Nothobranchius furzeri: one gene and its partner. The protein of the gene in region 2 purifies or fractionates together with the protein of the main gene of each other region. This does not show direct contact. Links are inferred from orthologs where the notes say so. Each region holds a gene or a part of one and is shown on either strand. Other genes may lie near its edges.

Region 1 (4,479 bases), on a different chromosome or scaffold from region 2:
GCCCTTTGGTGGACATGCTGTTTTTAAATATGCTCTATCTAAATGTGGTGTACTCATCTTAAACCCGACTAAAGGACTGCTGTTTAACTCTTCTGGGACAAAAGGATGAGGATTATTGACAACATTTATTTTTCATTTTTTGAGACAATTTGAAAGATTTTAGAATGTAAAAATAATCAAATTAGATGTTTATTGTTTCTTTAGTTACCAAAAATGGACAAAGTTCATTTTAAAACATCCATCCATTTTTTTCCACTTATCCAGAGTCAGGTTGTGAGGGAGCAGCAGCCTAAGCAGGAAGGCCCAGACTTCCCTCTCCCCAGCCACTTGGGCCAGCTCCTCTGGGGGAATCCCAAGGCATTCCCTGGCCAGGTGAGAGACATAGTCCCTCCAGCGTGTCCTGGGTCTACCTTTAGGCCTCCTCTCTCACCAGGGAGGCGTCCAGGAGGCATCCTGACCAGATGCCCGAGCCACCTCAACTGGCTCCTCTCGATGTGGAGGAGCAGCAGGTCTACTCTGAGCCCCTCCCAGATGACCGAGCTTCTCACCCTATCTCTAAGGGAGAGCCCAGCCACTCTGTAAAGAAAACTCATTTCAGCCTCTTGCATCCATGATCTCGTTCTTTCGGTCACTACCCAAAGCTCATGACCATAGGTGAGGGTAGGAACGTAAATTGACCAGTAAATCTAGAGCTTCACCTTCTGACTCAACTCTCTCTTCACCACGACAGACCGGTACAACGCCCGCATCACTGCAGATGCAGCACCAATCCGCCTATCGATCTCACGCTCCAGTTTTCCCTCACTCGTGAACAAGACCCCGAGATACTTATGTTTTAGTCTTCTAGTTTTAGTAGTCCATTGTTAATTTTTGTGTTGATCTTGTCTGTTCTTATTGCTGTAAAGCACACCGAGTTGCCTTTGTGTAGGAAATGAGCCATCAGACTACAGATGCAAATTAGCAACTATGCTATAATCTGGCCCATTTACGATCGATACAATGTATTTGATTGTTTATTAATGTCATTGTCCTGAATAAAGAATTGAATTAATAAAGCTGTCTTGTCTTAAACTCCTCCATCCCTGACCCACAGAAGGCATTCTACCCTTTTCTGACTCGAGCATGGAGTTGATTTTCATCACAGCTGCTTCACACTCGGATGCGAACCGCTCCAGTGAGAGTTGGAGATCAGGTTCTGATGATGAACAGGACCACATCATCTGCAAAATACAGAGACTCATTCCTCGGGCCACCAAAACGGATTCCCTCAACACCTTCGCTGCTCCTAGAAATCTTTTTTGTTTTCATTTTAAAACAATTATTATTTATGGGTTTAACAGTTATGTTTTTTTTTATCCAGGGGCTCATTTGTGATAATAATTTTCAAATTGGGCATTAATCATCTTTTGTATATTCATTCTGTGTTTGACATATTTGTGGGCCTTAATCAGTTCTTTTTAAAACTTAAAACACTAAAACACCAGATTTTTCACCTACGGTTCAGACACACACACACACACACACACACACACACACACACACACACACACACACACACACACACACAGGGACTTTTATTAAACTTTCCACTGTGAAGACTGTTTTAAAGTCATGAGTTCAGACTGAAAAACAAACTCAGTGGTTAAAACAGTAATAATGTAGGATTTTCTAAAAGGTTTTCAACATTTATTGGATTTTAAAATGATTGAAATATTTTTTTAAACAACTTGGAGATAAAAAATCTTTAAACCGTTCAGAATAGCTAGAGTAAATAATCCCCAAAAGAACTGGGCTTATATTATCTTTATGGTTTTGTTGGGTTTTAGACGTTATTAGTGGGTTACTTCTTCATTTGCTTCTACATGGTACCGATGTTAAGTGATATAAAGAGCAGAGATGCTTGTTTTGTTATTTATGTTTTAAAACCTAGAGCTAGTTAACCAGGAGCTAACTGGCAGTCATCATCATCTTTATTTATAATTCAATTCAATTCAAAGATACTTTATTAATCCCAGAGGGAAATTTGAGTTTCAGTACACACAATTCTGAGATCAGACAAACATAGGCAAAGACACATGACAAGAACTGGTGACTGTGGTCATTCGCAACCCGAGTCGCGCGACCTTCATAGAGATCAGAGAGTTACATGAGGATGGAGTAAGGTGGAGGGAAAAAAGGGCACTTCAGAGTTACCCTCCACAGGGAGGGCAGCTTTGCTATGCAAAGATGCAACAGACTTAAGACATCACACAACATAAGTAAGTGTCCATTAGGTGGGGAGGTAGGATTGCGGACTCTCCGCACATCAGTGCGTGCGTATATAGAGCCCCTTACAGGCATGCCACCAAACTGCTGCAGAGTAACTAATTAAAACTGATAAAATCACCAAAAACAATCAAAAACCATAAAGTAAAAATATGTAAAAGATCAGCAACATCTAACCCAGAGAGTTAAAAGCCAAACCATAAAAGCGATTCTTCATCCTTGTTCTAAAAACCTGCTGAAGTCTGATGGAGAGCCTCACAGACGGGAAGTTTTGGTCCTGCTACGCAGAACGCCACATCCCCTCTCGTCTAGTTAAACATGACCTAACTTAGTTAACAGTTAGCTAGCGCTGTTGTCCCTCATTTAGTGACTCTAAACCAGTCGGACATCTTCACTATGACACTTGAGGCTGTTAGCCCCTGATGCTAACACAGAAATCTGTTCTCAGATCAGCTTTCAGACCTTCAGCTTGTTCAGGACCCCGCTGTTCTCCAGGTTCTGGATCAGCAGGTCCCTCAGCTCCGTGTCGTCCTCCGCAGCCGACATGTTGACGCGAACCGACGCTGACTAGCTTAGACAGCAAAATACAACAAACAAACAACTCTACAAAATTAAACAACACAATAAACAACACGGAACCGCTGCGGAGGATGACGACTGACGAGTCGGCTAAACGTCTCGGTGCGACACCGCCACCTATCGGATGGGGGTGTGGATTGTTGTTTATCTTACTTTTATTTTTATTTCATTTCATTTTTTTTTCGATTGATTGGTTTTTCTAAACTAATAATGCTAAACGTGTTTAGAATTTTTAATCATAGTTTTATAAATAAGTAAATAATAATTGTTGTGAAGCTGAGGTTATTTCTTCTGTTATTCCTTTAAGTTGAACTTTAGTGCCACCTGCTAGATAAACTGGCATAGATTCATTTCAGTTTCCGGTTTATTCCAATTTCTTTCTTATTAAATGAAATAATACTTCTGCGTTTTTAACCAAGTCACCTAAACAATGGACTGAACTATTTCAAGATTTGTTTTCCTCCAAAAAGTCTTGACAGAATTAGATTACTTCATGGACAAACATCCTCCTCGTGGTGAGAACTTTCAGATGTGGAAGACATCACACAGTAACTAGTAGAACAGTGAAATAAAGTTGAAAGATTTAATGAAGATTTAAGGCAAGCCAACTATTTCATTTTTGGAGGTAGTTGGGAGGTTTGTTTCCTCGGGCTTGTAGCGAGCAGGAACTCAATCGTCATGTTGTTCATATCAAAAACAAAAGTGTGTCAGTGGCTTTCCCTATCAGTAGATGGTCTAATTGTCCTGGAGCCAGAGGTTGAACTGACCTGCTGCTCCATACGAGGCCCGGTTCTTCTAATGTGAGGTGACCTCTTATCTCAGAGCACAGAATAACTAAAGTTAGACAAGCAAGCTCCTAAACTGCACTCTGCATTAGTTAGACGTTGGGTGTTTAGACTGGGTGCAAAACTCTTCGCTGAGTTATGAAAGGGTTCTTAAAATATAAGGTTGAGAAGAACTTCTGCAGGAAATTTGATTAGTAAGGAAGCTTAATTTGGTGTTTTAACACACTAATACACATCAGTCCTCAGGGCTCTGGATGTTCATGGGAAAATCATTTATAAATAATAAATGAAACATTTTGTTGTAACGAGTCAAAGATTTAAAGTTCGTTAAGGACAATTACAGATAAATGAATCATTCATGTTTACAAAAAAGATTAAAAATGTTTCCTTCATCTCAAAACTTATTTGTCTTTCAGATTTCCATGTTTGTGTTTTTAGGTCGAGACTTTTGGGGAGAGGAAAGAGTTTATATGTCAAAGATCTGAGAGGATCATTTTTAAATAGAATCTGAAAAAAACTTCATTTAGGAAAGAAAACAAACCCATTATATATATTTGTTTTATTGGCATCTACATGTATGTGTTAATAAAGCCACGGTTAATATTTCTACATCAAAGCTGGTTAGATCTGACCCACATGTGGTCCACATCTGCAGCTTCTTCTGAGTCAGCATGAGCCACCAGCTCCTCAGACGTTCAGTTTATTCTGATCCCGATCTTCAGATCTCCCGTCAGTGTGAAAACTGCAGCCGCAAGGATCTAAGGTGGCCCAGTTTCTGATCAGATGTGGGTCTTGGTTTACATTAAAACTCTTCTTTCAACAAGAGGGACTCTAAAACTGGTCCTTGTGG
Region 2 (4,443 bases):
TTGCTGCAGCCACACCTGCAGCTCATCTTTGTTCCCGTGAAAGGATAAAAGGAACGTTGGATACACGCCCGAGGAGCTACTCCTAACCCATGAGTAGTCTCCATTTCTGCTCCGTTCTGGACAATACGGTTGTGATTACGTGCGCGTGGTTAGAGGAAAGCCTCTGCGTGGTATTCTACTAAAGCCTGAGTCAGTGGTTCCTAGCCTCTAGTGCCAATCGCTTCATACTGGTATCTTTGCCTAGACAGAAATCTAATAATTCTCTGTTCTTTAAAAGGCTCATTTTGTTTGGCTTCAGAGAGCCTTTTTGCTTATAGAAGCTCTTAGAAACCCGTACCAGCTTGAGTAAATATATCAACGTTTTAATTAAATAAGGAAAATATTTTTATACCCAGGTTTCTTTCTCATCTGTTATCTTTTCTCTGTCCTCTTAGCTTCTTAAAGTAAGGAGGAAAGCATAGCAAGTTAAAAGCTAACATGATTCTGGAAACAAAAACGTCTACACGGAAGACGTGTTAGTGATTCAGCCCTTAGTGTCTAATGAGTAATCTGACTTTTCACAGGTTAAGCCAATCAGGCTGCATTTTGTCTGATTCTGATTGTCGGATTACTTTTTTTTTTTGAGTAGTCTCCAAAAAAAACATTGAAACAACAAAACTGGTGTCTGATCATTACTGAACACTCGAACGAGTGAAGAACTTCCTACCTCCAGCAAGTCATCCAGGAAACTGCAGGCCAAGATATCTTGAATTTTAATCTTTCCTGTTAACACACGTTTCTTTACATTAGAGAGACACAAATGTTCGCTACGTCTGCACATCGTTTACATCAAAGAATACGCAAACTGAGCTTTGTCGACGAGGGTGCACGGACTAACGAATCACCTGAACTCACCGGTCCGAAGCGGATCGAGGAAGAAAAAAAACTTGCGAACAGCCGTGCAGACGTAGAAAGAATAAAACGATTTCTCCAGTCCGTCCAGCTGAGGTAGAGTCGGGATCAGCTCTAGGATGTAGTTCTCTAGATCCTATAGGGATGAGAAACATCACACAACCAATTAGATCAATAAATTAGATTTATGTGTGAAGTGAAACGGGTGTTTGACTCTTACTGATTCTCTCAGGTATCCTTGTCCCGCTACATCATACAGACTCAGGCCAATTCGGGTCTGATGCAACCAAACTAAACCAGAACAGAAATGATCCCATACTTATGAGAGCCCCATGCAAGCCACCGGAGCTGACTAAAGCAAACATTAAAATAAATAACACGTGCCGCAGAAACCTTTAATCTAACAGAACAAACAAATAACCTTTGCAGTTTGTTTCATTAAAAAGTCAAAAAAGAAAAGAAAAGAAAGACTTTTTTCAAACCTTTCCTCATAACGTAGTTAAAGAACTGCATGATGGATATTCGGCCGTACGGGTCACTGTGCAGCAGTTTGCCGTAAACTCTGGCTGTGAAAAACTTTCTGTAAGACAAACAGATGTACGATATATTAGCTGTCTGAAATAAAGGGAAATTAATTAATGCGTTAAAAGAATTAAAGGTTTGCAGTTTCCAGAAACTAGGATGCTCTTAAGCAACTTTTAATGCAGTTATACTTTAGTGTCTTCCTACTTAAATCTAAAGTTTTCAGGCACTTAAGCATCAAACTCTTGGGTGCAAATGAGAGCAGCTCTCTGTGCAGAACCCTGTTCTACGAGGAAGAACCAACTCCTAGTTACTCACCTGCACTTTTCTCCTGCCTTCTCCCCCACCTGCAGGTAAGCTTCGTAGTTGATCATGGCTTCATCTCCATTCACTGGAGGCACCTGGTGTTTGTCTAGCAGGAACCACAGATTCTACAAAAACACAACACAATCCATCTGTGACCATTTTTTTCCTGTTAGAGACTGTGGGAAAGGAGTTAAGTGCTTGCCCCATAATCGGAAGGTTGCAGGTTCGAGCCCTGTTCACTCTGCTGCTGCAGTGTCCTTGGGCAAGACACTTAACCCACCTTGCCGGTTGGGGGTGGTTGGAGGGACCGGTGGGGCCTGTGTGTGGCAGAATCACCTCTGTCACTGTGCGCCAGGGCAGCTGTGGCTACAATGTAGCTCATCACCACCAGGGTGTGAATGTGAATTACTGATTGTGTTGTAAAACACCTTGGAGGGTTCCAGGCCTCTAGAAGGCCATAACAAATACAGGCCATTTACGATCTGCTGAATAGTTCTGTTTTTACCTGGAGCTCTTCATTGTCTAACAGTTCTCTGCTCTTCCTCTGGAGGAAAACGGCTCTGGATTCTTCTCTGAGCTTCTGAAGGAGCAATTCATCCTCTGCTGGAAGCTGCAAAACATCATCATCACACAGATGTTTTCACAACATCTGGATCGTTTCAAATCAACTCACCAGGACCTGCTTCCATAGCTTAAACTCTTAAAACACAGCTTGCAAGATTATCTTGTACGTCTAAAGCAAACTATGAAGAAACTACAAACTGTTTACATGTATTGTACCATTCAGCATTTGAATAAACAACTACCTTATAATAAAACCGTGGTATGGTTTTATACGATTTGTCATTATCGACACCTCCTCTCCATTCTGTGTAATATTTGGTGAACATTTCAGTTTCTTCCTCTTTCTTTTCATCTTCACTCCTCTCGTCTTCTCAAAGAAGAAAAGAACGGACAGAAAATCACTCAACAAAACCAAAACATGACAAGCCTACGTTAGCTCATCAAAACAACACAGTTTCTGACCCTTTTTATAGTTGGCGAGTCTTCTCTTGAGAATATCCGCCCAGTTGGAGTCCTCCTCTTTAGCCATACCGGCTGAGAAAACAACTTAACATCAACTTTATAATGTTTTTCGTCAAAACAGCTAGTTCACGAAAGAAGCTAGGAAGATTCAACGTCAAAGTGAAATAGAGCTACTTCCGGTTAATTGCCATGTTTTCAAAATAAAAAACAAGACGTGAAATTTATGTATAACATCTAAACGTTTGAATGACAAAAATATATTATTTTTTTGTCCAGATAGATTATATGCTGATGCAGCCTCAACAACACAAAATGTTTTCATTTGCTTTGTAGCTTTATTTTGAAACACTAAATGTTGATAGTGTCACTTTTTCAGAAAACGAGAAATCGGGGCTTCTTTCTTTCTCCAAATGTAAAAACTGAACGCAAACCCCTAAACAAACGTTACTTTATATGTTAAAACATTATTGTTCTACTTAATTATACCACAGAATCAGAATACTTCTCAATCGAAAAATGACATTTTTCTTCTTTCTTTCAAAATGTGTAAATTTAAATATTTTGTTGTTTTTGTTGCAGCAGTTGTAAGTGGGCGTTTTACATAAAATTTTACAAAAATTAATCATTCCTTTTTCACATTTCGTGCTTCAAACGCTAACTAATTGTAAAATAGAATGGCGTTTTAGCGGTGTATTCTGTAAATTCTGTGTAAATCTGAGGTACCAAAATGCAGCATCGGAACTAGTCTCGTGTTGATGACGACAGTAATGTGCGACCTGGGAGGCATGCTTTATCCAAGCGCAAACACCGTAAATGAGCTGATTTAATGGTTCTTTTTACGTACTTAAATAATCGTAAGTTATATTTATGTCTATATAATTATAAATCCAGCAGAACCATAAAGATATATTTCAGTTTTAAGTAACTTGATATTTCTACTCATCAGTGTTTTTCAATTTACATTCCAAACAAAACGTACATTTTTTTATGAATCATTCATTTGGTAAAACTTGTTTATGCATTTATATCTCGGGTTGAAGTAAAAACCAATATATTTTACCAGAAAATCCTCTGCCGGGTAGCTGTTAAACACTATAAAATGGGCTCTAATTTAATATTAAAAGTCAGATTATGTTTAAACTCGCCTTTGCTGCCTTCCTCCGCACGCTTTCTTTGCACACAATACATTAAATCAAACCTGGGTGGCGGACAGATGGACAGAAGAAACAGTGGACAGGGTGATGGACAATCTAGAATGAAAAAAATAACTTATAAACAGGATTCAGAGGATGGAAGAAGTAAGAAATACACCTTGAGGCAGCTGCCTTCTTTTCCTAAATCTGTTTTTGCTGCTGGGACTGCAAAGAAGATAGCTAGGATTCAGCAGAAGAAAGCATCGTTAGTCTCTGAAGATGAAGAAGAGCCTCAACGCAGAACAAACAGAGGAGCAGGTAATACTTTTATACCCAGATATTTGTATAGTTACACTACTGAGAGTCTTCTACCTGCAACAGTAACTTTGAGATCTTAATCCCTGTTTACAGATTTAAAAAAGCAACAACATAGTTTATGGAGGAATTTTATTGTTTGCATTTGCTGCTCTGAAATAGACGTGTTTGACAGGAAAGCTGCAGCCTCCTGAAAGGCCCCTTCCTCCTGATGAGTGGAGGAAGATGAAGGAATCTCTCGGGAATCCAA

Evidence for each region.
Region 1: the proteins of ppp2r3c (region 2) and cep43 purify together in Homo sapiens (affinity purification with mass spectrometry; 3 studies listed by BioGRID and IntAct, counting the BioPlex papers as one, with this or other methods). This does not show direct contact. The link is inferred for Nothobranchius furzeri from reciprocal best matches to the Homo sapiens genes PPP2R3C and CEP43.

What each region holds. Positions count from the first base shown.
Region 1 is NC_091742.1:15,835,581-15,840,059, forward strand, and holds the start of cep43 (centrosomal protein 43), read right to left. Parts: upstream 2,958-4,479; 5' UTR 2,812-2,957; coding exon 2,728-2,811; intron 1-2,727. UniProt on the Homo sapiens protein: Required for anchoring microtubules to the centrosomes. Required for ciliation.
Region 2 is NC_091758.1:40,633,070-40,637,512, reverse strand, and holds the start of ppp2r3c (serine/threonine-protein phosphatase 2A regulatory subunit B'' subunit gamma), read right to left. Parts: upstream 2,929-4,443; 5' UTR 2,813-2,928; coding exon 2,746-2,812; intron 2,651-2,745; coding exon 2,526-2,650; intron 2,330-2,525; coding exon 2,225-2,329; intron 1,845-2,224; coding exon 1,732-1,844; intron 1,472-1,731; coding exon 1,374-1,471; intron 1,183-1,373; coding exon 1,112-1,182; intron 1,028-1,111; coding exon 895-1,027; intron 763-894; coding exon 707-762; intron 1-706. Other genes in the region: prorp (mitochondrial ribonuclease P catalytic subunit), read left to right, coding at 3,845-4,196, 4,369-4,443. UniProt on the Homo sapiens protein: May regulate MCM3AP phosphorylation through phosphatase recruitment. May act as a negative regulator of ABCB1 expression and function through the dephosphorylation of ABCB1 by TFPI2/PPP2R3C complex.